Sus scrofa: one gene and its partners. The protein of the gene in region 2 binds, or shares a complex with, the protein of the main gene of each other region. Links are inferred from orthologs where the notes say so. Each region holds a gene or a part of one and is shown on either strand. Other genes may lie near its edges. The genes, in order: RAB11FIP3, RAB11A, MYO5A, MYO5B, RAB3IP, SH3BP5 and RAB11FIP2.

Evidence for each region.
Region 1: the proteins of RAB11A (region 2) and RAB11FIP3 are in contact, whole or in part, in a crystal structure (PDB 2HV8), measured with the Homo sapiens proteins. The link is inferred for Sus scrofa from reciprocal best matches to the Homo sapiens genes RAB11A and RAB11FIP3. Residues at the interface, in NP_004654.1 of Homo sapiens: Arg33, Ile44, Gly45, Val46, Glu47, Phe48, Ala49, Thr50, Trp65, Arg72, Arg74, Ala75, Ile76, Ala79, Tyr80, Arg82; in NP_055515.1 of Homo sapiens: Asn731, Phe732, Gln735, Ile738, Asp739, Arg740, Ile742, Val743, Met746, Glu747, Pro750, Ser751, Leu753, Glu754, Val755, Lys756.
Region 3: the proteins of RAB11A (region 2) and MYO5A are in contact, whole or in part, in a crystal structure (PDB 5JCZ), measured with the Homo sapiens proteins. The link is inferred for Sus scrofa from reciprocal best matches to the Homo sapiens genes RAB11A and MYO5A. Residues at the interface, in NP_004654.1 of Homo sapiens: Arg33, Glu35, Ile44, Gly45, Val46, Glu47, Phe48, Ala49, Thr50, Gln63, Trp65, Gln70, Tyr73, Ala75, Ile76, Ala79, Arg82; in NP_001369276.1 of Homo sapiens: Ile1660, Gln1661, Trp1738, Met1742, Arg1745, Tyr1746, Ser1749, Gln1750, Glu1753, Arg1756, Gln1777, Gln1780, Val1781, Lys1782, Lys1784, Met1795, Glu1818.
Region 4: the proteins of RAB11A (region 2) and MYO5B are in contact, whole or in part, in a crystal structure (PDB 4LX0), measured with the Homo sapiens proteins. The link is inferred for Sus scrofa from reciprocal best matches to the Homo sapiens genes RAB11A and MYO5B. Residues at the interface, in NP_004654.1 of Homo sapiens: Leu11, Lys13, Arg33, Glu35, Ile44, Gly45, Val46, Glu47, Phe48, Ala49, Thr50, Gln63, Trp65, Glu71, Arg72, Tyr73, Arg74, Ala75, Ile76, Thr77, Ala79, Tyr80, Arg82, Gly83; in NP_001073936.1 of Homo sapiens: Ile1627, Gln1628, Gly1629, Leu1630, Trp1706, Met1710, Arg1713, Tyr1714, Ser1717, Gln1718, Glu1721, Arg1724, Gln1745, Leu1747, Gln1748, Leu1749, Lys1750, Lys1751, Glu1755, Ala1759, Leu1763, Tyr1779, Glu1786.
Region 5: the proteins of RAB11A (region 2) and RAB3IP are in contact, whole or in part, in a crystal structure (PDB 4UJ5), measured with the Homo sapiens proteins. The link is inferred for Sus scrofa from reciprocal best matches to the Homo sapiens genes RAB11A and RAB3IP. Residues at the interface, in NP_004654.1 of Homo sapiens: Phe36, Leu38, Glu39, Asp127, Leu128, Arg129, His130, Leu131, Arg132, Ala133, Pro135, Thr136, Leu156; in NP_783322.1 of Homo sapiens: Asn367, Thr368, Leu369, Ser370, Ile371, Glu372, Pro373, Asp412, Arg424, Thr428, Cys431, Asn432, Thr435, Tyr439, Leu444, Val445, Lys446, Gln447, Gln448.
Region 6: the proteins of RAB11A (region 2) and SH3BP5 are in contact, whole or in part, in a crystal structure (PDB 6IXV), measured with the Homo sapiens proteins. The link is inferred for Sus scrofa from reciprocal best matches to the Homo sapiens genes RAB11A and SH3BP5. Residues at the interface, in NP_004654.1 of Homo sapiens: Tyr8, Asp9, Tyr10, Leu11, Lys13, Glu35, Phe36, Asn37, Leu38, Glu39, Ser40, Ser42, Thr43, Ile44, Phe48, Lys58, Gln63, Trp65, Tyr73, Ile76, Ala79, Arg82, Gly83; in NP_004835.2 of Homo sapiens: Asp42, Ile45, Gln46, Leu49, Glu50, Asn53, Thr56, Ile59, Asn60, Glu63, Thr64, Glu67, Lys240, Tyr243, Leu247, Leu250, Glu251, Ile253, Ser254, Asp255, Ile257, His258, Arg261.
Region 7: the proteins of RAB11A (region 2) and RAB11FIP2 are in contact, whole or in part, in a crystal structure (PDB 2GZD), measured with the Homo sapiens proteins. The link is inferred for Sus scrofa from reciprocal best matches to the Homo sapiens genes RAB11A and RAB11FIP2. Residues at the interface, in NP_004654.1 of Homo sapiens: Arg33, Ile44, Gly45, Val46, Glu47, Phe48, Ala49, Thr50, Lys61, Trp65, Arg72, Arg74, Ala75, Ile76, Ala79, Tyr80, Arg82; in NP_055719.1 of Homo sapiens: Glu478, Ile481, Asp482, Asn483, Leu485, Val486, Met489, Glu490, Pro493, Ser494, Leu496, Arg497, Val498.

What each region holds. Positions count from the first base shown.
Region 1 is NC_010445.4:41,282,199-41,286,430, forward strand, and holds the start of RAB11FIP3 (rab11 family-interacting protein 3), read right to left. Parts: upstream 2,801-4,232; 5' UTR 2,786-2,800; coding exon 1,700-2,785; intron 1-1,699. UniProt on the Homo sapiens protein: Downstream effector molecule for Rab11 GTPase which is involved in endocytic trafficking, cytokinesis and intracellular ciliogenesis by participating in membrane delivery. Recruited by Rab11 to endosomes where it links Rab11 to dynein motor complex.
Region 2 is NC_010443.5:163,885,248-163,888,241, forward strand, and holds the end of RAB11A (ras-related protein Rab-11A), read left to right. Parts: intron 1-2,354; coding exon 2,355-2,494; downstream 2,495-2,994. UniProt on the Homo sapiens protein: The small GTPases Rab are key regulators of intracellular membrane trafficking, from the formation of transport vesicles to their fusion with membranes.
Region 3 is NC_010443.5:119,164,277-119,168,550, forward strand, and holds the start of MYO5A (unconventional myosin-Va), read left to right. Parts: upstream 1-1,474; 5' UTR 1,475-1,665; coding exon 1,666-1,692; intron 1,693-4,274. UniProt on the Homo sapiens protein: Processive actin-based motor that can move in large steps approximating the 36-nm pseudo-repeat of the actin filament. Can hydrolyze ATP in the presence of actin, which is essential for its function as a motor protein. Involved in melanosome transport.
Region 4 is NC_010443.5:99,808,135-99,812,323, reverse strand, and holds the start of MYO5B (unconventional myosin-Vb), read left to right. Parts: upstream 1-1,389; 5' UTR 1,390-1,414; coding exon 1,415-1,462; intron 1,463-2,173; exon of another isoform or gene 2,174-2,626; coding exon of another isoform or gene 2,627-2,653; intron 2,654-4,189. UniProt on the Homo sapiens protein: May be involved in vesicular trafficking via its association with the CART complex. The CART complex is necessary for efficient transferrin receptor recycling but not for EGFR degradation.
Region 5 is NC_010447.5:34,001,830-34,005,990, forward strand, and holds the start of RAB3IP (rab-3A-interacting protein), read left to right. Parts: upstream 1-1,361; 5' UTR 1,362-1,508; intron 1,509-1,646; exon of another isoform or gene 1,647-1,665; intron 1,666-2,209; 5' UTR 2,210-2,336; coding exon 2,337-2,347; intron 2,348-4,161. UniProt on the Homo sapiens protein: Guanine nucleotide exchange factor (GEF) which may activate RAB8A and RAB8B. Promotes the exchange of GDP to GTP, converting inactive GDP-bound Rab proteins into their active GTP-bound form.
Region 6 is NC_010455.5:2,582,802-2,586,788, reverse strand, and holds the start of SH3BP5 (SH3 domain-binding protein 5), read left to right. Parts: upstream 1-1,187; 5' UTR 1,188-1,340; coding exon 1,341-1,481; intron 1,482-3,129; coding exon 3,130-3,192; intron 3,193-3,987. UniProt on the Homo sapiens protein: Functions as a guanine nucleotide exchange factor (GEF) with specificity for RAB11A and RAB25. Inhibits the auto- and transphosphorylation activity of BTK. Plays a negative regulatory role in BTK-related cytoplasmic signaling in B-cells.
Region 7 is NC_010456.5:128,108,150-128,112,233, reverse strand, and holds the start of RAB11FIP2 (rab11 family-interacting protein 2), read left to right. Parts: upstream 1-1,284; 5' UTR 1,285-1,742; coding exon 1,743-2,095; intron 2,096-4,084. UniProt on the Homo sapiens protein: A Rab11 effector binding preferentially phosphatidylinositol 3,4,5-trisphosphate (PtdInsP3) and phosphatidic acid (PA) and acting in the regulation of the transport of vesicles from the endosomal recycling compartment (ERC) to the plasma membrane.

The DNA of each region.
Region 1 (4,232 bases), on a different chromosome or scaffold from region 2:
CGCAGACGCGGCTCGGAGCCCGTGTTGCTGTGGCTGTGGTGGAGGCCAGTGGCTACAGCTCCGATTCGACCCCTAGCCTGGGAACCTCCAGGCAGGTGCAGCCCTAAAAGGACAAAAAAACAAAAAACAAACAAAAGCACCTGGAGCAGCCATCTCGGTCCAAGCTAAGCACACAGGATATTATCAGTTGTGTATCTCTCCGTCCGTCAGACTAAGAGATGGGAAACCCAATCTCAAGCAAGATCTTCCAACCCAGAGCTAAAGCAGGGCGTCCCACAGACCCAACGCCGACATGCAGGCCCACTGCCACATGCACATCTTCCCAGGCCGGGACCTCAACAAGGAACCTGAGCTCAGGCAAGCCGGTTCTGCACCCAACAGCTCAATGGACACTGTCAACACTCACGGGCACCCGGATCCCTTGTACAGGCTCTTAACGTGATGACGGATGCTCTGAAAAGCAGGGTGTCAATGATGCCTCTTAAAGACCTCTGGGCTTAAACATGTATCCACGCTTGAACAGCCACTTTACGAATGTCCGCAAGTGTGAGAAGTCAGCAACACACAAAAACTAGCAGATCAGCATTTTAGGAATTTCCTATTCCTAAGTCAAAAATTTACAAGTAGGAGTTCCTGTCGTGGCTCAGTGGAAACAAATCTGACTAGCATCCATGAGGACACAGGTTCGATCCCTGGCCTTGCTCAGTGGGTTAAGGATCCGGCGTTGCTGCGAGCCGCGGTGTAGGTTGCACATGTGGCTCGGATCTGATGTGGCTGTGGCTGGCAGCTGCAGCTCTGATGTGACCCCTAACCTGGGAACCTCCATATGCTGCCGGTGTGGCCCTAAAAAAAATAATAATAATAAAGGCAAAAATAAAAAAAATTACAAGTGAACGTCGGTAATCAATTTGCATGTATTTGGGTTAATACCAGAACACACACAGCCCTGCTGCTGTCTCCACCTAAACTTTCCTAAGCGCTGGGAGGGAGGGACTGGAGGGTGAGGGCCACCTCCTCCTAGCGCAGCCACAGCCCCGGGGGGCTGGGCAGGACCCCCTGCCCCACTGCACTGTGCCTTCCCAACACCTGCCCCACAGGCGAGGAGGTGGCCCTGAGGCAGTTCTGCTCAGGCTTCCTCAAGTCTGCATGCACCATGGTGCTCCGAGGCTCATTCCCCTCCCTCTGGGCTTCCTCTCTTTCCCTTCTGCACAGAAGGAACAGCAGTGAAATTTTTTGGCATTCGGCGTCTCCCAAACAACGAGTCTATGGAGAACATATGCCAACCACACACAGTAAAGTAACTGCGCTCAAAATAGACGTCTGGAACATGATCCCTAAGCGTCCAGGTGCCCCGTGGCAGACCCAAGGAGCGAATTACTTCAGCCCGACCAGACCTGGGCCCTCCGCTGGGGGAACGGCGGGCACGTCTGCGGAGGGCACTTCCATCGGGCAGCCTGGGGGCATGTCCCCAGGCCAGGCGCTCCCCTCGACTTAGGAAAATATCCAGCTTGTGTGGCCTGAGACGTCAGGGAAGACACTAAATCCCGGAATTAGAACCTCTCTCAAGGGGAAAGAGGCGCTTCGGCGAAATTCGACCAGAGGTGAGGGCAGAAGTCAAGCACGAGAGGACGCGGACCCCGGCCTTAAGTGCCCTCCGCGACCCCCGCGCACGGAGCCCGGCTCCCACGCTGCGAGTTACCTGCTCTGCCCCGTAGACGGTGGCGAACTGGACGAAGTCCGCGATGCGGACGAAGCCGTCTCCATCCCCGTCCAGGGCTTCGAACACGGCTCGGAGCCGGGGGGCGTCCTCCGGACACCCCGCGGGCTCGCTCGTTAAGGGGCGGGTCTGGCTGAAGTCCGAGGGCCGGTCCGGGTCCCCGGGACCCAGCTCCAGCGCCGGCTCGCCGACCTCGGGCGAGGGGAAGGGGGGGAAGAAGTCGACCTCGCCCCGCAGGTGGTGGCTGCGGCTGAAATCCTGCGCGCGGGCTGTCGCGCTGTGCGGGCAGCTTGGGGGGCCGTCACCCTCCGGCTCAGCGGTCCAGGAATAAAGCGGGCCTAGTTCCGACAGCGGCGGGTCGGGGTCGGGGTCGGGGTCGGGATCGGAGTCGGGGTCCGGGTCTGGGGCCCGGCCAAGGCGCTGAGGCCTCCGCTCCGGCCCCGGGCCCCGTCCGGCCTCCGGGCCGGCTTCGGGGTCTTGCGGGCCGAGCCCCAGGTGGAGGGCGGGAGCGGAGGGCGCGCCGGGCCCGCCGGGGTCTGGGTCGGGGCCCGGGCCGCCCGAGGGGGAGGCCGGCCGGCCCGGCTCCATCTTCATGGGCGCGCCCCCGGCCGCGGCGCAGGCCCGCGAGGCCAGTGGAACGGCGGGCGGCGCGGGCGGCAGACAAAGGCGCTCAGGGCGCGGCGGCGGGCGCGGGCATCCCCGCGGCGACGCGGGCGGGCGCGCGCGGGGCGCCCGGGCTGCTCGGGCTGGCGCTCGGGCCCTGCTCCGCCCTCGCCCATCTTCGCGCCGCGCCTCAGCTGTCCTCGGCCCTGCGGCGCGGCGGGCGCGGGCCCATGGCGGCGGCGGCGGCGGCGGCGGGTGGCACAAGGAAGCCGAGGGTGAGGACGAGGAGGGGAGGCTAAGGAGCGGGTCGCCGAGGAGGGGGATCTGGAGAATCAGGACCCTAAACAGGAGGACGGCGCGCAGGAGGACGCTGAGGGGAACACGGTTGAGGAGGACGAGGAGGTGTCCGCGGTACCCGAGCTCACGCCGCCGCCCTCGCCCCGCCCTCTGTCGGCCTGACGTCATCACGTCGCGCCGCCATCTGGCTCCGCCCCTCGCCGGGCTGCTATAAAGGCAGGCAGCCGCGCTGCGAAGCTGTGGGGCTGTATGTGGGTCTCCCTTCCTCTGCGGCACCGGGAGGCTGGGTGTAAAGGGGGCGAATGCGCTGGAAGGCAGCAACCCCGGGCGTGACGTCATGCACCCCCACACGCAACGCGGATGACTGCGTCTTGCCTGCATAAAGAGCTCCCTCAAATTGATAAGCAACGGATGCGATCCAACCGGGCGAGCGAAGTGCGCGTGACATCCTCCTCCCGCAACCGTGGCTCGCAGTCCCGGCCTGAGTGTGGAAGGGCCCTGAACATGCGGTCCCTCACTTGTGACCCAAGGAACGGGTGGCCCAACGCAGAGGCCTTTTTTAAAAATCTCGGACAGGAGTTCCCGTCGTGGCGCAGTGGTTAACGCATCCGACTAGAAACCATGAGGTTGCGGGTTCGGTCCCTGCCCTCGATCAGCGGGTTAAGGATCCGGTGTCAAGGTTGCAGACGCGGCTCGGATCCCGCGTTGCTGTGGCTGTGGCGTAGGCCGGCGGCTACAGCTCCGATTCGACCCCTAGTCTGGGAACCTCCATATGCTGCAGCTCCAATTAGACCCCTAGTCTGGGAACCTCCATATGCCACGGGTGCAACTGTAAAAAGAGAAAAAAAATTCACAGAATTGTATCACCAGAGAATGAATTTCACTGCGTGTAAATTATACCTTAGTAAAAAAATAATTTTTTAAAAAAATTATCCCTGTGTTTTCTTTTTCTTGTTTTCCTTATGTCCTCTGCCTTCCTCATGTCTTTAGAAAACACTAGCCCCCTAGGCCTTCCCCGAGTTCCAAAGAGTAAATTTAATTAGAAAAGTGAAAAAAAAATGTAGAAAGAAAGGAAAAGAGTCAAGCAGCAGACAGACAGAACAGTCAAGGAGCCTTAGTTAGCTCCTCCTCAAGGGGGCTATAGATCACTTTTTTTTTTTAGGGCCACACCTACAAACCCACGTCCTCATGGACAGTAGTCGGGTTCAATACCCCTAAGCCACAAGGGGAACTCCGATAGATCATCTTCCGAGCTGTTTTTTTGGGTTTTTTTTTTTTTTTGTCCTTTTGCCTTTTCTACAGCCTTACCCTGAATCATATGGAGGTTCTCGGGCTAGGGGTCTAATTGGAGCTGCAGGCCAAGCCTACACCAGAACCACAGCAACTCAGGATGCAACCCACACCACAGCTCACAGCAACGCCGGATCCTTAACCCACTGAGCAAGGCCAGGGATCGAACCCGAAACCTCGTGGATTCTTCGTCGGATTCGTTAACCACTGAGCCATGACAGGAACTCCCTTCAGACCTGTTTTGCAGAGGCTGAAACCCCACCAGGTGAAGAAGTTAAGTATATGGAGCCCACCAGCTCCTAGTCCCCAGACCAGCTGGAACGGA
Region 2 (2,994 bases):
GTCTTTGGGCTGCCCACCTCGGGGCGGGGTATGGGGTATCACATAATAGCCCCTCTTACTGTCTCCATATGGCCTCCTCTTAGTCTTCTGGAGTAGGATATCTTTCTTTGATAGTTTCCAGTCTGTTTTGTTGAAGGTTGTTCAGCAGTTGGTTGTAATTTTGTTGCTTTTATGAGAGAAGGTGAGCTTTAGTCCTTCTGCTCTGCCATCTTAATCCCCTAACTTAATGTTTAAAATCACTTGTAAAGAAGTTAAAATTGGAGTTCCCATTGTGGCTCAGTGGTAACGAACTCGACTAGTATCCACGAAGACCTGGTCCCTCTCAGGGGGTTAAGTATCCAGTGTTGCCATGCACTGCAGTGTAGGTTGCAGATGTGGCTCAGATCTGGCGTGGCTGTGGCATAGGCTGGCAGCTGCAGCTCCAATTCAGCCCCTAACTTGGGAACCTCTGTATGTTGCAGGTGCGTCCCTAAAAAGAAAAATAACAGTTAAAATTTGTAGGGGGGCACATTTAATCAATTGCACTTGAGAAAGAAGTGTCATCCCAGTTTGAGTGTAGAGAGAAATCATTAAGAAAAAAGAATGAATGGTATAGTTTTATAGTAAGTTGATGGTTATCTTTATTCCTTAACAACTAGCCTAATTGAATGATTGTCTTTTTACCCTTGACCCATTCTAATCTCATCCCTTTTCCATGTAAAGAATCTAATCGAGGATTCCATGTCCTTCATATCCTGGTTTTCTTTTTTTTAAAGTTTAGTTAGTAGCTTTCCTTTATTGTAATCTAATTTTTTTCTCTTTGTGCTTCTTTACCTTTGAACCACTGTCAACTTTCTAAAATAAATTTTACACACACCCCCCCAAAAGCATAAGAAAAGGTACAGTGTTTTTGTTAGTTTACATATTCAGTTGATTATAGCTTGTCGTTCAGCTTTAGGGAAATTATTTCTTAATTTGGAGAAAATATATTAACTTAGTTAATACGCTTCTTTTTCTTTAACTTTTTATTGTGGAAAGTTTCCCCCATACCAAAAGTAGGATGGTATCCTGAACTTCTGGGTAGCCATCAACAACTATCAGTTCAGAGCCAGTCTTCTTCCACTCACTCCCTCCCCCATTATTTTGAAATAAATCCCAGATATTATATCATTTCATTTGTAAAGATTCTGTGATGTAAATCTAAAACATAGAACTTAAAACCCATAAAAACAAAACCTAAAAATTAGCGGTCATTCCTTACTGTCCTCTGTTATCCAAACAGTATTAAAATTTCCTGTCTCAAATTTAAATCCAAATGATGTTCATACACTGCACTTGGTCGCTGTGTTCTTGGAGTATTTTGAAAATATGATTCCACTCTCTGTTTTTTAAATATTACAGAAATGATATAGTGAACACATATATCCTTCATCTAAAAATCTCAATTATTAACATTTTGCTGCATTTGGTTTATTTCTACATATATATAAGTATACTTTTTTCCCTTTTGCTCAATATTTGGAAGTTCAGTTGTAGATGTGGCATTTGCTACTAAATACTTGAGCATTTTATCTCTTAGGAACAAGGCATTCTCCTACATAATCGCAATACCATATATCACATCCAAGAACTCCGCGTATACAGTATTGTCTAGTGTGCAGTCCCCTCAGGGTGCACCATGGTGGGTAGAGGACGGCAGTGACTGATGGCTTGATGGTCTCAACATCTTTGTTTACTGTTCTGGCAGGCAGCATTCCTCAGCTTTATTTAATGGTAGAGAAAAAGGTTGCTGCTAAACAACTAGTTCTTAAGTGTCCTAGAAAATCAGTTGCCTGTTTTGAATAGTTATTTAATTACAATTCAACTTGAGTTCAGGAGGCACTGATAAACATTATCTTTCTCTTCTTTTCCAGGAGTCTTTTGGGATTGTGACTAATATATGAATTTGTGTTCATTCTTACATAGCCAATAGAAATACCTAATGTGTCAGATATTGCAAATTTGTTTTAATTTTTCTGTGGTACAGTGTCACTGTATGCAGTGGTTTTTTTGGTAAGGGTAGACCGAAAATACTATCAGGACTTAATTTAGATCTAAGCCCCCAAACTGTGTAATCTCTTTTAACCAAAATTAACTGGTGAACCTTTCTCTCTGAAATGGAAAACCTTCGTTTCTCTTTTTACCCTAAGGGAAATTGTTAAAATAGTGGGTTGACTCTAAATCAGTGGCTGTTTGAAAGTAAAACTTTGAGTATATGCAGTCTCTTTTCAGTTTGTTTATTTTCACGAATATAACTTCTGCCTCTTTGTGTTTTTCATATCACCTGTTGATGGCTCTGTTCACACTGAGTATTGCTGTTTCTTTTTTTTACTCAGAGATATACCGCATTGTTTCCCAGAAGCAAATGTCAGACAGACGTGAAAATGACATGTCTCCAAGCAACAATGTGGTTCCTATTCATGTTCCACCAACCACTGAAAACAAGCCAAAGGTGCAGTGCTGTCAGAACATATAAGGATTTTCTTTTCTCCCCTAGAAGAATGTGTATAGTTCAATTCCCAGGTCTGAGATTTAAATATATTTGTAATTCTTGTGGTCATTTTTGTTTTATTACTTCCTCATACTTATGAATTTTTCCATGTCTTAAGTCTTTTGATTTTAGCTTTATAAAATCATCCACTTGTCCCAAATGACTGCAGCTTTTTTTCATGCTATGGCTTCACTAGCCTTAGTTTAATAAACTGAATATTTGGATTCCTCAATTATTGTTTACTTTTCATCATGGAAGCTGTCACTGTAGGACATAATAGAACTTGATCCCTTGAAGCTTAGACCTATCGGTCTTGATTAAATCAAACTAAGAAGACTCTGGAAATAAGCTATTATTTTGCCACGGAGCAGCTTATAATTAACACACTCTTCTCTCACTTGCAGTGTGTATTTCCATGAATCTAAGAATTGCCCTATAAACATAGCAGAATTTTGAGAGCTTGAAAATTTTCCATTATTCTGGAA
Region 3 (4,274 bases), about 45 Mb from region 2:
GCAGTATACCCCATGGTGACACACGCCCTGAACCCCTTCTCAGCATACTCAGCATTTCTCAACAGTTCATGGAGGTAGGTACTATCAGGAGGGTAAAAAAATAGTCAATACACAAAGCATGAAGAAACTCAAGAGATAGAGTTCAAAATTCTTAAATCTCAATCCAGTGCCCTTTCTGGTGTACTGCTCATAGCTGCATGGTTTCCTCTTTTGTATGTCTGGGCAAAGAAAAGATAGGATGTAAAAACGTGAAAGATACATGGCTTTAGAATGGAAAGTACAAAGAATTCTGCAGGATTCTGTAGCTATTCCTCTGGCATCTCTGAAAAGATTGTGGGCAGTGAGTAAGGGGAGGCGAGACCTGAGTTCCAGGGAGCACTTGACCCAAGTGTCCCCCTCATCAGTGCTCTCCCTTCAAATACACATGCAGGATACACACACTACCAAGGGGGCTAGCCTTGAGAGGTGGTCTTGATAGAAACCATGCCAGATTCCCAGGAATGGCACTGGGTATCACATGAGCACATTAAAAAGAGGTTGAAAAATTATGACCATTAGCCAAGCCAGAATGAAAGTGTGACTTGGGAGCAGGTATATGTGAAGACAGCATGGGCGGGGGGGGGCGGAAAGATCACATTCTTGTGCTCAAAGTGCAAGGATAACAACGATTAGATAGAGAAAGGGCCGGGGCAGAAAGGTAGTGGCACCACTAGGCACAGGCCTGGAAGCAAAAGAGGCTCCAGGGCTGCCTCCTTTGCGCATCTTGTTACAAGGCGCACTTATATCTCTGCAGCTTAAAACAGGCCCATACGATCCTGCATCAAGAAACGACCCTACTGCAGATGCCGAGGGGTGCAGTCATCTTTGGGGTGACCTTGGTTATTCTCTCATTATCCCGTTCCTTGCTCACTCCTAGACTTCTATACTGCTAACAAGGCTCTTCTGGAATTCTAAGTTATTCTATGGCCTTCCAAGAAATCTCGCCCCAAATCATTTCCCTAGAAATGTTTGGAAGCACAGGTGAAGCAGCCTGGAGACTCCTAGCCTTTTCCCTGGACTCCTTCAGTGACACCAACCTTCTCAGGGCTGAGCTGTCACAGTCCAGGGCTCGCTTGGGATCGAGGGAGTCCAGGGGACGACATGCCCCCCGGGACGGGTGTGCAACCGGCAGGTGTCCTAGGGCGGGCTTCTGGGTCTCGGCAGCGCGGGAGGCGGCGGCGGCGACGACGCTGGGTGGCAGGCTGCTGATGCTCGGTGCCCGCAGCCGATGGGAGGCAGCGTGAGCTGGAGAGAACCCGGAGCAGCCGAGGTGGTAGCGCGGGAGCGCAGCCTCCTCCCGCTCCCACAATGCACAGGGCGGCGGCGGCGGCGGCAGCATCACCGTCCGCCAGGGTGGCTGCGGTGGCGACCCCGAGGACCCCGGGCGCGCCGAGCGCGCGGCACTACTCGCGGCGAGCCCGGGAGTGATGGCGAGGCCCCCACGGGCCGCCTGCGTCTGAGGGGCCCCGCCCCGCCCCACCCGGCCCCGCCCGGCGCGGCCCGCCCCGGCCCTGCCCTGCTCGCTGCCGGAGGCAGCCTGGGCGCTTCCTAGTCGGCGCGGGCGGCCGCCCAGGCGAGGTGCGGCCTCCGCACGGACTGGGGGGCGTCGGCGCCGCGGGGCCCGCCATGGCCGCGTCCGAGCTCTACACAAAGGTAAGGCGCCCCGCGAGTCGCGCTGTGGGGAGGGGACCCCGCGGACCCACGCCGCCAGCTGTCATACTGGGGAGGGGCATGGGGCTTGAGGACCCGGTTTTGCTGGGCCGGTACCACCCCTTTCCGAGCATTTCAAAACCCTTGGCCCTGCTCGCCGGCCGCCAGCCGGCGAAAGCGCCTTCCTCGTTCAGTCGTTGATGATTAAGGCGGAGGAGGCCTGCCTCGGGTGCCTCTCTGGCCCCTGCCAAGCTTCTTGGGCTTCGAGCAGTGCGGATTTCTAAGGGAACCCGTGTGGATTTAGTAGGGCGGGCCTGGGTCAAGATTGCTCAGCCTTCCGTCTTGCTTTAGGAAAAATGCTGGCTTGTGGGAGATGCTAGATCTGGTCGGTCCCTCCCTTGGGGACACGCGCTTAAAATAACGTCTTGTGTTGGTATGCGGTGCCACTTCTACCGCCAGCCAACCTTTCTGTGTGAGATTTAGAATCTTTCGCCAGTTTTCACCTTTAGTTGCCTGGTTTCAGATTTTTACCCTGGGGTGGAGGGCCCTTGGGGAGCAGGCGGCGGAACAAACGCGAGCTGATTCACGGACTAGAATAGAATGGTCGGCATTCATTTGTCACTGGGAGTTTGCAACCTGCGTATAATCCCTTAGAGCCTTGTTAGGCTCCATGTCTTCACCAACCTCTGCGGCGAGCCTTCTCCTCCTGGGTTTAGTTTAAGGGAAGTAGCAGCCTTTCTTTCTTATACTGACGCTAGTATTCTCTGGGGCTGGTAATATCTGAATGGCATGTTTTGGAGAACCATACCTTCAAGACAGTGTAATGTCCTTTGTGACTGTGTTGTCATGGCATTTTACACTTTCACTCCCTTGTAGGTAGTAGGTGTTTTGCCAGCTGTTAACTACCTCTAATTCCGGTTAACAGAATTGCCTTAACTTTTCAAGTTGGCATTTGCAACAGCGTCTACATTTAGGGTCCAAGAATCCTTGTATCCAAATATTACCCAAGCAAGCCCTGGGCCCAAGTTGCAGCATGTTATTGAAGGAAGAGGTCTAGACCTGCCATTTAGAGACCCGGATTCTAGCCCTGGATGCTAGCCCTGGCCTTTTGAGTTTCTGTGTGACCTTGAGCAAATCACCTAACCTCTGTGGAGTTCCCCATGTGTAAATGAGGTTAATTACACCTGCTCTGTATCTATTACAAGGCTGTTGTTGTGAGGATCAAACTTTAATAATAGATGAGAATACTTTGTTTAACCTGTGAATTTCTGTGCAAATATGAGGTATATTTCTTCAACTATGAAATGGGTTTGCTTGAAACATTTCCTAGGATTTCTTTCTTTCTAGCTGCAGATTTGAAGACTGCACAGTTGGAACTTCTCTCTAAACCTGGTTATTCCAAAGGCATTTTAGATCTTTAGTGTACGACAGAATGCAATTGGAAATTTTGTAACAAACATTTATATAAACTATGTGCAAGGTACTGTTTTAAGTGCTTTACAAGTAATAACTCATTTATTTTTTATTTATTTATTTGTCTTTTTGCCATTTCGTGGGCCGCTCCCTTGGCATATGTAGGTTCCCAGGCTAGGGGTCCAATCGGAGCTGTAGCCACCGGCCTATGCCAGAGCCACAGCAACGGGGGATCCTCGCTGCGTCTACAACCTACACCACAGCTCACATCAACACCAGATCCTTAACCCACTGAGCAAGGCCAGGGATCGAACCCGCAACGTCATGATTCCTAGTCGGATTCGTTAACCACTGAGCCACGACGGGAACTCCATAATAACTCATTTAATCTGCATAATAAACATATGAGGTAGGTACTAAGAAATCAGAGTCGCTTTCACAAGAAGAGTAAATATCCCTTAGTTACTTTGCATAGACCTTATTCTTCACTAAGGTTTTGGGCTTTGGTCATAGCTTCCCCACAATCTGTTTTAAAGTTCACCCTCTAGTCACTGTAAAGACACATTGATTTAGACATCAGTGGAGAAATTGAGCTTAAACTGCCTTCTCTGAAATATGTTTATACCTAAGAATAATCTAGTCACTTGGTTTGTTTGCTAGCAAATTCGTTTTGTGAATGGGCCTTATCTTAATGGTGGGCAAAAATATTTATTGAGCACCTCCTGAGTGCCAGGTACTCTGCTTACTGTTGAGAGGTTCTAATATGAACAAAACACAGTCCTTTCCCTCAAAGGGCTTTCAGCCTGCTTCATATATTCTTGGCCCACTTTGAATCTCCAATGGCATAAATAACCTGCTGTTACCTCAGCGGCAGGCAGACAGCTGGCATGGTATTTATTTGTAGAAGTTAGAAAACGGGTTGGGACTTGGAGGTTGGAATGATTCTAGAGATAAAAGCTTGGGTAGTGATTATTAGAGGAAGAAGGAAATCATTAGAGGTAACATCAGTGGATAAACATGAGGATTTATCCCTTACAGAGGATTATAGAGAAGGAAGTTCTGGGGTTAGACTACAAAGAAATTTGTAATAGTGACATGCTATAATTATAGTATTCACCCATCGTGGTTAAATCTGAAAAGTGCCCCTTTAAAAAACATCATCCAGAGCTTAA
Region 4 (4,189 bases), about 64 Mb from region 2:
TTTGTGCCAGGTATGATGGAAGCCAGAAAGTTGGAACTGGGTTGGGGGTGGGGAGAAAGGAGGGTGACATGAACCTCAGGTTGGTCCAAGGGCCTGGCAGGATTGCTAGCATTGCCTATCTGGCAGGTGGAAAAGTGGGTCTAAAGGTTAGAATTGGATTTGAGAGTTAATATTGCAGTAAGAGATGAAATGGGGGTGTGCCTGAGAAGAAATGTGAGATCTGGGAAATGGGCCACAGCTTTATTCAGGAACCAGGAAGAGAAAGCAGAAGGTGTGGTTAGTGAGGCTGGGAAAACAAGAGAAGAAGAACGACAGAGGCTAGGGGAGGAGGTGGTTTAACAACATGGGGAGAACCAGTTACCAGCCCGTGCTTCAGAGGGAGATGGCAATTTCAATAGGATGGAGCTGAGAGGAAACCATTTTGGAGGGTATTAAAGCAGCAGCTCTTCACCTTGGCTGTCATTAGAATCATTTAGGAACTCTTAAAAACCCCTTTGCCCAGGCAGCATCCAAGACAAGTTAAATCAGAATTTCTGGGAGTGGGAGCCAAGCATTTGCTTTCGTAAAAGTGATTCTCATGCAGAAAATGTTGAAAAACAGTGAATTACAGAGGGACTGGGTGTGGGTAAGTGGAGCCAGCAGTAGAAACTACCACTTCAAGAACTTTAGTAGAAAAGGAGAACAGAGGAAAAGTCAAGAGCTAGTGGAGAGATGGGACCACGGATGGAGCATGGTGGTGGAGCAGGCAAGGACATATGGAGCAAAGGTGGGGATTGGGCCTTCCTAGCCCGAGAGGAAAGAATCTGTGGCAGGGGTGAGGACACAGGATGCCAAGCCCCACACCCCGCCTTTCTGATGGGAAGGTCTGTGATGAGGCCCCATATGTTGTATTTCTAAAAAGTTCCCAGGTGATGCTGATGGTCCTGGGTGGTGGGGCGGGGTGGGGTGGGGCTGTCACACTTTCATAACTATCAGGATACGGGGAAGGAATAAGGGGAAGGAAACTATGTAGACAGATTTTTGAGGGAGAGAGAAATGATGGAATCATTTCCTTTTTGTTCTTCCCAATGTTATGAAGAGCTTCCTTTCAGATCCAAGAAGAGTTGCCCAAGCTTTGTTCACTTCCTTTATCAACCCTGGAAATAAAATCCTTTAGAATTATGGAGGAACTTAAAACTTCAGATGCTTGGGTCTCACCCTTCAATGAATCCGAGTTCCTCAGGGTGGGGAACCCCTTCCTTGGAAGGGCTTTAAAGCTCCTCAGGTGATTCTTACTGAGGAAGCATAGTCGAGAAGGGCTGCAGGTGGATTAAATGGAGATCCTGTCTTCCAAGTGGGAGGGTCTTAAATGGGATGAGTTTAAGAATCACCTTTCAGGGAGCGGGGCTCTAGAACAATTGTTCCAGCGACATAGATGGATGCTTTGGTTGAGAGCCACTCTCAGGGGCCATCACTCATTCAGGTACAAATGCCACCTCAAAAGACCAAATGTTTCTTCCTACAGCTCCTGCGCTCCCTTTACTGCCTCCTGCCAATTAATTTCCTCTTTGGCTGAAATTTCTACTTTATGTTGCAAGCAGAAGAGGGAGTGGCGCTGCCAATGTCACTGGCAGAACCGACAAAAGTAAATCAGGTAGGCAGCGGCAGAGGGACTGAGAGTGCGTGTGAGAGAGAGCGGAGAAAATGTGAGACTTCCCAGAAAAGCAAACAATTTTCTGATGGGGGTAGGGAGCCTAGCCGCAAGCTGTGGGTGAAACTGTCAAAGTGGAGAAGACTTCAGCTCCCACCTTTCCGATCAGGATTTCAGCGCAGGCAGCTCAGTTTGGCGGAGACAATCTTTGGTATATCCAAATCACCCTAATCTACGACATAACGATTTTTAATGATGCAGGTATTGAATGTAGCCCCGTAAATCCAGAGGAAAATGTATGGAGTCTTTCAGCTGCAAGCATTTCTCCTTTTTATTCCTCTTCTCCCTTCTCGGATACTTCCACCTCTTTTTTTTCTGATCTGCACCGGATCCCCGCCCACCGCAGGTGCCCGGACCCGGAGCGCACCTGTCCGGAGCGCGCCGGGCGTCCAGCAGGGGGCAGTCGGCGCCGGCTCCTTGCGCGGCCCCGCCCCCGGCCAGGAGGACCCCTCTGCGGCGGGGGCGCGAGAGGGCGCGGCGGGTTCGGCCCGGGCAGGGCTCAAAGGCGGCGGCGGCAGTGCGTCCGCCGCCCGCTCGGACGCGCGCCCGCCCTCTCCCTTCTCGGCCGCCCCCCTCGCCCGCGCCGCCTCCCATACCTGAGCCGGGAGCGGCGCTGCGCGGCCTCCTCCCCCGCCCGCCCGGTCGCCACTCCTGCCCGGCCGCCGCTGCGCCGCCACTGCCGCGGGAGTAAAGGTCGCGCCGGCAGAGAGCGAGCCGGCTGCGGCGCCTCCAGGAAGCCGGCGGGGCAGGTTGGAGAAAAGGGGAAAGAACCGAGAAACTCTCGAACAGCCCAGGAAGATGGCGCCAGGAGGGCCGGCCATGGACTGAGAGCCGCTGGGGCCGCGAAGAGCCGGACCCGCCCCCCATTGGGGCACGAGCGAGGGCAGCCCGCCAGGCACCGAGCTCGAGCCCGGGCCCGGCCCGGCCTGCGGGGTCATGTCGGTCAGTGAGCTCTACAGCCAGGTGAGTGCGGGCCGCCTCGGGCCCGGGGCACAGGTGAGGGCTGAGGGGAGGGCGGTCCTCGGGGGCGCCTTCTCCTGCGGCTCGGCGGGTAGGGGCGGCGGTGGACGCCTCTCAGCCTGCCCCCTCGCCGCCGCCTCCGCGCCCCGAACTTCGGGAGGCAGAGAAAGTTTGGCTGTTCCGGGAGCGCCCCGCGCTGACCGCCCGCGGCTCCCACCCCTGGCAGGCTCCCTGACTCGGTGCGGTTGCTGTTCTCGCCCCAGCTCAGTCCGGTCGAGGTCCCGATACCTTAGGAGCGACCCCACCAGTTCGGAGCCTCCGGCACTAGCACAGCCCCCCACGGTGCTCCCCTGCTCGTGGACCCCACATCGGGGCTCTGCATCGTGGGCTCCCAAGGGCGACCCTCGCGTGCCATTAAGGGGGATCCCTCAACTTGGGGGGTGTTCCTACATTTGGGAGTGGGGAGAGGGGGGACCCAACCTGGTGTGAGAGGCGCGGCGGCTGGGGTGGGTGGGTAAGCGGTGGGTGGAGGATGCTCCAGGGAGTTCCCGGGGAGGTGCATTCTCACTGTGCCAAGGATGGGCATTTTGAAGCGGGCGCTCGGCGGGGGGCACTTGGTGGGCTTCAGTCATTTCGGGGAAGGAATCGGAGTAATGCTGACGCGGGGGTGGAGTGTGGATTTACACGATGCTCTCAAGGTCAGAATGGATGTGTGTGGGGTTTGGTCCTCAAGAGTCGGGAACAGGTGCGGCCGGGCGGAGAAGCCCCGGTTCCGCAGCAGTTGCTTTGATTAAAGTTAGAGGCCAGCCACCGCTTCCTGAGCGCCCTCCGCGGAGCGGCAGTCGTCTGGACCCCTTCGGGTTTCAACTTGGCGCGGGGTGAGGGGTGGGAGTGGGGGTGTGAGAGGGGCAGAGGCCTTTCAGTACGAACCCCTCCCCTCTCAAAAAATAAAAAATAAAAAAAGTTTTGCCTGTTGTGACACCTAGGCTGCAGGCTTATCTTCTCTGTGGCCGGGACACATTTGACAGTGCCTCGCACCCACCTTTCTGCATGCAGAGGGGTGCGTGGTGTACGCTTGGGGTGTGTGTGTGATCCAAAGGACCAAGGCCCCTGGCCAGCAGGTCTGGGCGGGGAGCAAGAGCTACTTCCGCATCCTCACCTGGCAACTGCTCGCAGCTGCCCTGCGCGTGGGCGAGCCCTTCAGCTTTGTGGACTGGCCACCCATTTTCATTTGAAGAATTTTCTAATCCCTTCTTCCTCTTGGAGGGGGACAAGGCCCAGTTGGGATGACAGGAGATGGCAGTAGAGGGTGTAACCTGGCTGGGGGCGGAGTCTCAGCAACTTTGGCTACGTGCTCCTCCCCCATCTAGGTCCCCTGATGAATGACGGCTTCTAGGAGGAAAGGGTGTGAGGTTTGAGCCAGCAGGTGAAATCTCTGGCGTTTCTGGCTTTGGAAGGGCACCCCGCCTAGTTTCCCGTGGGAGTCTTGGGCGGTCAACTTTCAGTTCTTTTCCTGAAGTGGGTTGTCCTGAACCTTGA
Region 5 (4,161 bases), on a different chromosome or scaffold from region 2:
AGTTTGCTGCATGTGCAGTTTATTCATTTTGCTTGGTTGTTATCAACATATTTGTCTTCTTGATTATGTTTACGTGCTTGGATGATGGAGATTGTGTGTAATGGTTTCTCTGTCCCCACATCTAGCAGTAGGCACACAGATCTAGCACGATAAATGTTTGATGAATGAATGACCTAGCGTAAGGGAGAATAGTTAGGAGTCCATTAATGAGGAAGGTCATGTCTAGTTGCAGTAAGAGATGGGAGAGATTTAAGAATTATTTGGGAATTAGAATGGTTAAGACTTGGTATACTGGAGACGTCGTATAAAAGAGTAAATAATGACTTTCTGGGTTTCTGTTTGTATCATAGGTGGATCATAATAATGATGTTAATAACAGCTAATCTTCACTAGGCACCCTGTGTCATGAAGTACACGAAGTATTTTGCATATATTAAACCATTTGATTTCTTAACGACTTAGGTAGGTAGTTTTATTATCCCCACTTATTGGGGCTATTAGATAACTAGCCCAAGATCACCGATACAGATTCTAGGTGCCAACCCCAAACACAGCAATTCTGATTTCTATAGCCATACACATACTCTTCTCTACTAACTCCAATAGACGTGATCAATATAAAAAAAAGTGTGTGTGTCCTACTGCACACATATATCATGTATATGTGTATATCTCTTTTACTAAACATAGAAACGCGTACTGTGATGTGACTGCTTCTTTTTGATTAGATTTTCGGGATCCTGGTTTGTATTTTCACTTTTCCTCTCTGGAGAACCTAAAGTGAGGTGGAAGTTTGACAAAAGAGTTGACATAAAAGGACGAGAGAGGGCAGGTACAGAAACATTCTCGAATGCTCTAACAGCTGCTGGAATGCTGGGATCTAGGTTCTATCAGACTCCTCCCACCCATCCCCCGAGAGACAGACACACGCACGCAAGCACCGGCGCGCGCACACACAGACACACACACACACACACTCACATGCACATTGTAAGGTACAAATGCACGCCAAGTCTCACGTTGGTTCTAGCGGTTCTCAACTCACATCGAAGGTTCATTTTCCGACACCTGGAGAGCTCAACACGCTTCAAGTGAATCCGAGACCGCCTGTTGAGCCCAAGGAAACAGGGCTCAGAGCGGGTTCGCCCTGGTTCCCAGGGAAACCGCCCGCGGAGGCACCTGGGGCGGCAGCCCCACACCTGCGAAGAGCCCCGCCTGGCGCCAGGGGGCGCGGCAGCGCGTCGGCCTCTCTGGCCCCGCGCTCGTCCGCCCCGCCCCCTCCCCGCCCCTATCCCCGCCTTCCTCCGCGGGGGCCCGACCGCTCCCGGCTCCTGGCCAGGCTCCCGGCGCAGGCGCAGTCCCGCACTCCCTCGGCCGTGCACCCGCCGCGGTGGAGTGTAGCGGCGTCGGCCGGCAGTCCTCCTCTCCCTCAGACTGCTTCGAGGCGCGCTCTTTGAGGCTCTACGAGCGCCCCTGAGCGCGGGCCGCGGCAGCGGTGAGTTTGCCAGGTGAGTGCGGTAGCGGGAGGGAGAGGCCCGGGACGCGGAGCACCGCCCCCCTCAGCGCCCGCCTCCCGCGAGCCGGCCTGGAGGGGCGGCCGCGGCAGGTGCAAGTGAGGGCGCGGCGCGCGGGGACCCTGTCCTGGCCCGACGAGCGCGCTCCCCGGTTTGGGCTCGCGGGCTTCGGGACCTCAGGGGCGGCGGCGGGGGCTTGGCGCCTCGGGGCATCAGGGCGCCCCCTGGGGCCGCGGTGGGCGGCGGGCGGCGGCGGCTCCTCCTCTGTCCCCCGGGCCCAGGCGCGTTACTCATTAACTGCGCAGTCCCGAGTGCCCAAGGCGGGAGCCCGACGCCCGGGGCGGGGAGCGGGACGCCGGGTTACCTGTCGGCCGGGCGCGCGCGCAGCCAGGAGCTGGGGGCCTGGGATCTTGGGGGAGTGTAAAGAGAGTTCCCGAACAAGTCTGGAGCCTAGCGCGGCGCGGAAGCTGCACCCGGCGAGGCAGTAGGCGTGGACCGGGGGGTCCTGGGGACCGAGAGCCCGGGCACCGCGCCGAGGCGTAGAGGTCACTCTCGCCAGGTTTCGGCGAAACCTGGTGGGCAAGAGCCGGTGCCCGGAGTCTCGCCTTAGAAGGCAGCTCAGTGCAGCCTGACTTTTGTTTCGGGGAGTTGAGAGGAGCTGCACAGACATAATTGTAATTGCGCTGCCCTTCCAGCGTGGACAACTCGCTCCGACCGCCCCGGGAAAAGCGAGCTTAATGGACTCTGGAAGTGGTGATGTTAGATGGAATCTGCGGCACGTGAAGAGTTGCCAGTTGTTATGGGATTAAAACAAAACCTGTAATGGCTAAAGGGTAAGGTCTTGAAAATTAAGAGCGCTCAGTTAATACCGATTATGAAGAAGCTAACAGTTTAGTTTCGTGGAAATGTATTATATTCCAAGGCTACCTGTTTCCCACTCCTCTGTTTCCCCTTCCAACTCCTTCATTTCAGAGTAGGGAAAGAGCTGTGTAATCTTTTGCCGTGGAATGATTACATAATTTGAGGAGAGGCCGATAAGAGGATTAAAACAAAACTGTTCTATTGTAAATCTGTTGAAAGGCCCAGTTTCTGTTCATTATCCTCAATCTTATTTTGTGCATGCCATTTTAAAGAAAAAAAAAATGGTGAATGACATATCAAGGAGAAAAGAGGCAGGATGGAGAAAAGGGCCAGAATAGATTTGTAGACCAATCATAGTCAATATTTGATACTGTTAAATATTCCAAAAGTTTTATGGGGCTTTGTTCTGTTAACATTTGTTATTTATTTGCTGGTACCATGCATTTTGATAGGACGTTTCATGTTTGGACAGATACTGTATCCCAAATATGGTTTCTGTGATCTAATCCTAAAGCCCTTGTAGAATTTATAGAAATACACTTGCAGCTATATAGTTTTACTACAGTAGCATATTTCTTACTATTAGAAGAAGAGCCTTTTCATTTTTTTCTTTTTCCACTGTGGTAACGTTATATATTTATGCTTACCTTTGTGAACCCAAGTGGGACCGTTTAATGTAACTTTTCCTTAAATGTTCGGCAAACAACTCATCTGTGGTATTGAATGCCTCTAACTTTTCACCAGGATGGATACATGATGTTCACCTGCTTTGTGAATTCTCTGACTAGTGGGGTTTCTAATTAGATCCAGTTGTAGCTTTTGAATTCGTATAGCTGTGTATATGCTCTCTTTCATTTTATTTTCCTCCAATTTTCACTAAACTTTCAACTCCTGCAACACACACATAGACACTCTACAAATAATTTTTAAAATTGAGTCTTGGAAGTCTTTGTCATCACCTCGTTTTTTGATATGGTAGAACAAAAACTTGTAGATTACAGCAATTTTACATGTATTACTGTAGTTAGTATACCTTTTCCTCCTCCTTTTCTGAGCAGAACTCACTGGATCAGTTTTAATGAAAAATTACTTCCCTGTTTTTTAGCATTTTAGCTCCATTACTTGCTATGCATATGACTTTGAGTAAATCATTTAACTTCTGAGCTTATTTTTTTCCATTTATAAATGGATATAGTAATAGGTTGAACCATATGAATTTGCCAGTATTCTGCTGTTGTAACTATGGCTCAACCTAGAATGAACTTCCTTATAGTGGCATGAGAATTAAATGGGATACTCCATGTGGGAGGTGGGGGAGAGGAACAGATAGCTGGAGAGAGGGCCATGCTTGTTGCTTCAGGTACCTTGACTCCTTTAGTCCTCAGAACATTCCTGGCATATAAGTGGTGTTACTGCTTTTTACAGATTAGGAAATTAAGGCTCAGAGAGGTGAAATAACTTGCCTCTGGTTATTTAGTTGTCAGTGGTCCTGTAGCTGACTAATGGCAGAGCCAGGATTAAACGCCCAGTGTGACTGTCCAAAATGGAACTCCTAACAGGCTTGCTCCTTCCATTCCTGGACCACACCTTCTGTGAAAGAGCTTTGTGACTACAAGAAGACATCCAGATGAAAGATGTTGTTATTATTTGTATTTCTTGTTAAAAAACATCCAGGTTTACTGATGATGGTGATATCTGCACATCTGCTCCTCCTGTGGAGTCTAGCGCTTGTGGTGTATCAGGTTCTGGTCTAAACATCATGCCAACTCAAAACTGACTCTCACAG
Region 6 (3,987 bases), on a different chromosome or scaffold from region 2:
CCCTGCAATTTTGTAGTGAAGGAGACATTAGCAATGGCCAGTGGCAATGTCCTTGCCTGCTTCACTAAAGTCATCTGACTTTCTGCTCCCCTGACATCACAGTGGATCTGACATTTCATAAAAGCACAGATATACCCTTATTCTTTGGCTTTTTGTGATGTTGAGTTTGCCAGGCAAGTAAGTTCTGGCTCCCTACCTGTTTGGGTGGGCAGGAAAACTTACTAGCTCATAAATCCTTGGACAGAGTGTGTCCATTAACAGGGGTTACACTCACATCTTTTTTTCTTTTTCTTTTTCCCGCTACCCCTGGAGTATATGGAAGTTCCTGGGCTAGGGGTTGAATCAGCACTGCAGCTAGGTCCCTAACACCACCAGCCACAGGCAAGGTGGGAGCCGAGATGCATCTGCAACCTATGGTTGCCTGCAGCAAGGCTGGAACCATACTCATTGATCGAGGCCAGGGATTGAAACTATCTCCTCACAGTGACACTGTCAGGTCCTTAACCCACTGAGCCACAATGGGAACTCCACACACTCACATCTTCTTGAGAAGGCTGTACCCACCCACTGATCTGTGGATTTTCCATGCGTCCTGGCTATTCAGGGAGGATCACCTAACCCATCGAAAAGCACGTAGCTTGGCCCAGTGGGGGCCACAGCCTTTGGACCAAGAATCCACGCATGGAGCTGCAGCTGGCTCCTCTCTTTATCCTTTTGTGTTTATGTGAGTATATGTTGTAGTTCCCTGTTCTGGGGAAATCTTCAGGTGGATTCAATTCCCAAGGTCACCCACGGGGGCAAAGCGCTTCCAGTGTATACAGGAGTTTGAGTGAGTCTTGAAACTGGTCCCGGGTCACTGAATACCAGCTTCTAAAGGTGACTTCAGACAGTGGCAATACCCCTAACTTCCCTTCCAAGCAGTTAGTTTGCCTGGGCAGAGGAGGGAGGGAGAAAAGCACTCTTGTCACCAGGCGGCTGACGTTGGGGAGCTTGTGATCTCTCCGGGCTGCTAAGTTAAAAGGGGTGAGGGCTCCTCCATTTCACGACCCTAAGGTTTTCCGGGAGTGAGGTTTTGTGACGGAGCCCGGGTGCCGGGGCCATAGCTGGGGCCGCGCAGGGCGGGCGGGCCGGCCTGGGGCGGAGCGGGCGGCGCTGCGCTTACTGCCGCGGCGGACAGGGGGCGGCCGCGCCCACTTCCTCCTGCTCGGGGCCGGGGACCCGCGGCAGCAAGCGGCGCTTCCAGAGCGCACCGGGCGGTGGCCAGACGGCCCCGGCCCAGCCTGCGAACGCCACTCCTGCGCTCCGAAGTCCGCCGTTCGCTTCGCTCTCCGGCCACCCGCATGGACGCGGCGCCGAAGCGGAGCCGGCCGGAGGAGGCGGCCGAGCTCCCGCCGCCAGCCCGGGACTCGGAGGAGGAGGAGGAGGAGGAGGGGATGGAGCCAGGGCTGGAGGAGGAGGAAGAAGTGGACCCCCGGATACAGGTAGGGCGCGTGGATCCCGGCAATGGCACTGAGCCCGCCTCGCGGTCCCCGGTGCTTGCACCCGGGAGAGGTGGCCGCGTAGGTCCGGGGCTGGAGGAGACAGTCAGAGTACCCGGCTTCACCCGGTTCCTGGGAGGCTGCGGTGCCCGCGTGGACGCGGCCTGACTCTATCGCGGGGATTACCCCGCAGGATCCGTGGGGTCGCCGCAGCGTGTCCGGCGGCTCGGGAGGGTGTGCAACAAAGAGAAAAGGGGGCGGGGGCGCCACGCCGGGCTCCCGGAGCCCGAGGGCCGCGTGGGCGCGGGCCGGGGGCGGTGGGCGTCGCCGCCCCTGCAGCAGGGTGGCCTCTCATGCTTGGGGTTCGGAGCACTCACCTGGCGGAGGTGCCCGGCCTGAGCCTGCCTGAGCCTTCTCCCTCTTGCTTTGATTCGTTGTTAGCAGGACGAAGGGTTTATTGTCACCACGGCTCAGCCCTCCGCTTGGCCTCAAATGGTTTAAAACCCAGCGTTTCCTCCTTTTGAGGTCGGCAGTGAACAGAAATTGGGGGCTAACAGCGCAAAGCTAACGTGGCGAGAAGGCGAGGGGATTGGCCTGGCTTCCTTGCCTCCATTTCTCTGGGAGATGATTAAAAGACAGTTTCCAAGCCGAGATCTAGCAGCGACAGCTTAACCTCTTCACCCTCTGGGGAAAAAGCACAGCATATTCCGTTCCAAGACTCTTTCCATAAATCATTTTTTAAAATAAATATTGTTTTGCAGCACGCGATGCGATTTCTGAAGACCTAATTGGTTTTTCAGTGCGCAGATCAATTAAAAGCTCATTTAACTCAGCTGTTGGCGTTTAAATGAATTGTTACGGCAGGTTAGCAAGACAAAGATCAGGTGGAAAAATCTTTACATTAGGAATTCTAAATAAAATCAGTTTGAACTACTAAATTTTGTTTTCTGGGTAGGGGAATTCTGTTGACAAGATCCTTTGTTTGCAGAGTAAAATGAGTTAACTTCATACTGGGCACTTTTTTTTTTTTTAAACAAAATGTCAGTTTGTAAATGTTATTTAAAGATCAATGTTTATGTTAGTTTTAGTTTGTTTTGTAAACAGCTAGGAAGGTTGAATAATTGGCAGTTTGAAAAGATTTTCGTCTCTAAAGAAAAATACTCAACCATGGATGAGTAAGTGCCAGAATTCTGCCTTGATATAAATCATTTCACTGGGTTTTTACTTTTGGCATGGTTTTGTTTGCTTGCTCTTACTGGTTTGGGTTTTTTTTTTTTTTTTTTCTTTTTCCTGCAAGTTTTTGCTCTAAAGCAGAGGGTTATTGTTTGGATTCAGCCCTTAAATCATTGTAACAGGTGAGTTTACCTGAAGGCACATACCTGGAATAAAATATTTGACCTTCTAAGAAAAGAAAATTCCTCGGACCTTAGTCATTTTCAGAAGGGCTACCACCCAGATAAAGGTTTCAGAAATGCTGACATTTCATTTGTTCTTTAGCCAAGGCTCAACTGTTTTCCTTGAAAATTAATACTGACTGGTTCCTCTTCCTGCAAATGATGCTGGAGTAATTTTGCAGGTTGGGAGGGGGGCAGAGTCATACCAGAACAAAAGACAATCCCTGAAAGCTTTTTCTCTCCCTTTTCTTCATCAGGGAGAACTGGAGAAGTTAAATCAATCCACGGATGATATCAACAGACGGGAGACTGAACTTGAGGTACAGAAAGCTGGGTGCTTGTTTTTGGGGAAGTGGCGTTGTCTCTCTGACACCAGGCTGGTTCATTTTGTTTTAAGAGGTGGTTGCTGGCATTCACTTTCGCAGTTGAGCAACAGCCTGCGTCTGACAGAATAAATACACCACTGAGTCCAGCTTGTGGGTGGAACACATGTGGATCCAATTTCATATATATTTTTTTAATCATGGAACCTCCATGGGGCCAAAAGCAAGGGCTTTACACAGACTTAAGCCCTGAAGTTAATGTGTCTGTGGAAAAGTTAAAAGGACTGAAGGGGAAATTGGCTGTGTACTTCAATGGACAGGAGTGAATGAGGTCACACAAATCTCTTAAGCATTTTAAGGGAGCTCCTTACATTGGTGCTTGGAAATAGTGTGTGTTTCCTTAGGAAGATTTAGATCTTTATTGACTTTCTGGGCTGAGAACCCTTCCCTCCCCCCACACCCCTACCCCGCTTCTACCCCTTTATTTATCGACTGCTTGTGCGTGGAATATAATCATCTCAATGGTAATGAAAGGCTGTTTTTATTTATTTATTGTCTTTTTGCCATTTCTTGGGCCGCTCCCGCGGCATATGGAGGTTCCCAGGCTAGGGGTCGAATTGGAGCTGTAGCTGCCAGCCTACGCCAGAGCCACAGCAACGCAGGATCCGAGCCATGTCTGCAACCTACACCACAGCTCACGGCCACGCCAGACCCTTAACCCACTGAGCAAGGCCAGGGATCAAACCCACAACCTCATGGTTCCTAGTTCGATTCGTTAACCTCTGAGCCACG
Region 7 (4,084 bases), on a different chromosome or scaffold from region 2:
TGCAGTCTTAACACATCCCAATTTTCTTCACTTAACAGAGTCCATCCGTCTTCGCCCTCAGGGTAAGTAAGGAATTTGTCAGTCGCCCTTGGTGAAGGAGGCTGTTTGTTTTCTTAGTTGACTTCGTTTTTAATACTTGCAGATTGACCACTGGGTTTGGCTTCTGAAGTTAGATGAGTGCCCAGGGGTTCCTTTTGATGTTAAGCCCTTACAGTTGTCATGGGGTCTCAGCCATAACGGAGAGCTATTTTAACAGTGAAAAAAACCAAGCCTCAGGGAAGGGAAATAACTTGACCAAGGTCGTTCAGACTGATGGTAGCAGATGTGGGATCAAGAACTAGGTCTGTGTCCAGCCCAGTACTCATCGTGACCTTTATTAATTCCCTGTGTTGGCTTTGGGATCTTTTTCTCTGCTTCCCTCTCTTCTGTCATCTGAGTAGGGGGTGGCATTCCAGTCAGTTAATCGCCTCTCTTTTCAAATAGAGAAGAGTGACTGAGGGTTTGGGGAAAGGTGTGTTTTTCGGCCAATGAAGGGGACTGATTTATTTCACCGCTATTCATCGAATGCCCGCTTGGTGCCAGGCACTGGGCATCCCGGGTGCAGCAAGGACAGCGTCCAAAGATTGAAACCGGGTTTCTCCCTAGGCCGGCAGTTCCTGGCCTAGACTGCTTTCCTCTCGGAGCGGTCTTTCGCTGTCCCCAGAGACTCCTTGACGTGCGGGTCCCCAACTCCCCGGCACCCCGGATCGTGACAAGGACCAAGCGAGGTGAACCCGCTGGATCAACACGCTGCCCTGGGAGCCGAGCTCGCGGCCTCAGCGCCCACGCGGCACACCCCCGGTCACCACGGCAACCAGGGAGGTGCTGACCCCTGACCCCATGGCTCCGCCCGGCCCCGCCCCACGCGTTCCTGAGATCAACATGGAGAAGGCCAACCCGGAAGTGCCGGCGCCGCCCGCCCGGTGCTAGGAGCCGCCGGCTCCGGGAAGGCTGAGCCCCGCGCCCGCCGCCGTGCTGCCCAGGGCCTGTCCCTGGTCCTCCTGCTGCGGGGCGGCCGCCTCCCCTGCCCCTGGTCCCACTCCACCCCGCGGCGACCCGCCCCCGCCCCACCTCCGCCCGAGAGGAGGAGCCGAGGCGAGGGGAGGAGGAGGAGGGAGAGGTTTGCGAGAGGGAGCGAGGCCGTGCGAGCGGCCGGCGGTTCGTATTACCGGGGTCGGGAGGAGGAGCCCGACCGGGCCGGTGGACCTGCACCCGGGAGGCGCGGAGGAGGCGGGGGCGGCCCGGCCGCGAGGAAGCGGGCGGGAGCCGGGGGCTGGGAGTCCGGGCAGGAGGCGCCCTCCCACTTGCGCCGCCCGCAGCCCGGGCCTTGGCGGTCGGGCCTTAGCTGCCCGCAGGCCCGGGAGTCCCCCCCCCACTCCCCGCCGCCGCCGAGGGCCGGTCCCGAGGGCCGGCGGAGCGTTGAGGTGTGGACGCGAGGCGCGGGCCTCCGCGCGGAGGCCTGGACGGCGCGGCCAGGTGATGGTGGGGCCCTGTGTTTCTCCAGAGGAAAGGGGACCCCCAGAGCAGCCGTCTTTGGGCTGCCCCAGCGAGGCGTTTGGACGTCAGCCCTAGGGAAGTCGGGCAGCTGTGCGGTTGCCTGTCTCCGTAAGTGCCCTTAGGATGCAGTGATTAAGGAATTAGGCTCTCCCTCCCGGGAGGGGCACTGCCTGCGCTGTGAACTCGGTGCAGAGAAAAAGGACAGGATGATGCTTTCCGAGCAAGCCCAAAAGTGGTTTCCGACCCACGTGCAGGTCACCGTGCTCCAAGCCAAAGATCTTAAGCCAAAAGGCAAAAGTGGCACCAATGACACATACACTATAATTCAGCTGGGCAAAGAAAAGTACTCCACCTCCGTAGCTGAGAAAACGCTTGAGCCAGTCTGGAAGGAAGAGGCCTCTTTTGAGCTCCCTGGATTGCTAATGCAGGGGAATCCAGAGAAATACATCCTTTTCCTCATAGTTATGCACAGGTCCCTGGTGGGTCTGGATAAGTTTTTAGGGCAGGTGGCCATCAATCTCAATGACATCTTTGAGGACAAACAAAGAAGGAAAACAGAGTAAGTTATGTAATTTATTTTGAATTGGGGGGAGCGTAATTTTATCTTCTTTATGGATTTTTCTGTTCTTGGAAGTTACTTGTCTACCTGGGGCATGGGTTTGGGGACTGAAATATGACCCAGTTTTAAGCACCATATTTGCATGAGTCTGAAGTAAAAATAGCCCTTGTGAAGAAACATTTTCATAAATGGAGTCTTTAATGATCCCTTACTCTCTCACTTGTTCGAGGCAAACATCTTCGTTAACTGAATGTTTTGCACACGATTTTAAGTATATTAATATTGTTTCACTTCTAAGAGGACAGGAACAGTGTTGACCAGCTAAAACAACATATATGTAAAATGTTATACTCTTTAAACATTACAGTTTTTCAGGAAATGGAACAGCCATCAGAAAGCCAAATCTGCCAATGTAAGGTCTTTTAGATGGGTAGATAGATTGATTGATTTTGCAGTTGAACTCTTACGATGTCAAGTGATAAATTACCCAAGTTAGGACTCAGTATTTTATTTCAGCATTATAAACACAGTTGGCTTTTATTTTAGCTCAGGCATTTTTCAGGGTCAGCACATCTCGATGGAGTCTAAAGCTGTTAAAAAAAAGTTTCAAAAGTGGGTACCAACATCCTCGACCTTGAACGCCATTACTTCCAAGTTCTGCAAAGCCAGGGTGTTTAGACCATATTACATGTTGTCAGATTGGAGACTGATTAAATTCTTGTGAGGAAATGATTTAATGACATCTTCAGTAAAAATCATAGGCCTTTTTAATCTGACTTCCAAACGTAGAATAGATATAGAGTCTAATTTAAAAAGCCATAATATAAGTTAAAACTAGGATGTTATGTCTTAAATTGAAAAATAGTATGTTTTCTGAGGTAGGGATACCCAGCCCTTCTTTAAGCTTGTAATTTCTCTCTTCTGAGAGAACATTAAAGCTGATGGAATTTATGAGAGAAAAATATGGGTTGCATTGACAAGAGGACTTCAGATTTCAAAACTAACTTTGGTGTTTCAGTTATAACTGAAATTTTATTTACGATTTAAAAACTTTTATAATGATAACTTTCTTGAAGTTCATGTTTTATTTTAAAACAACCACCTCTTGTTCCTTCTGTACATACCTTCCTGCAAGCTGCTCTGGATTGGAATTTTTATTTTTATTGAAAAAAATGTTTTTGGAGTCAGTTCTTTACCTAAGGTTTAATGTATGTCTAAATGGTAGCGTGAGAAGTAACACTAGGAATGCAGAGGAAAAATGGTAACTATTTACACTACCCCGAGAAGGTGAAAATATTTTAAGGGCAGAAAAAGGTTTTAAAAAAGTGCAAAGTTGAATATATATGAATGATTTTAATGATGTTTGGTAACTACAAAGTAGCATGCAGTTACCCCCGAGAAGTTCTTCATCAGATTTAAACTGCAAAGTGGATAGTCCCCAAATAATTTCTTTCAAATTGCCAATTTCGGATGACCTTTCATATAAGATTTAAAGTGTTTTGAATGTGAACTTTTAAGTAGATTGCATCTTCTGATTTCATACTGTATTTACAGTACTTTTAATGTTCATGAATGATGTACTGCAGGCCTTCTCTGGAATATAAATTTTCCAAGTGAAAAATAGGCCCAAGTGTGAACCCAGAGATTCTGAGGCTGAAATAAGCCTTTAAAGTTTCTTCTTGTTTTACTCCTTATCTTTGGCAGCATCACAATACAATAAATTTGGCTGTAAGCAATACTCTTAATATTGTCGTCTCCCTACAGAAATTCTCTCTTGGCTACTATATAAAATGGATTAGAACTTTTGGGGAGGAAAACGCGTTTAAATGTTATCAGCAGGGCTTGTGATGTTATTGCCTTCAGCATGATTTTCATATGTTATTAATCCCTAATGTTTTCTTTCTTTGTGGCTAAATGGGGACCACGTATTTGATGAGGTATCTTTATTGGTAATATTTCTAGTTTTTTAATATATTGAATGGCTTCCTT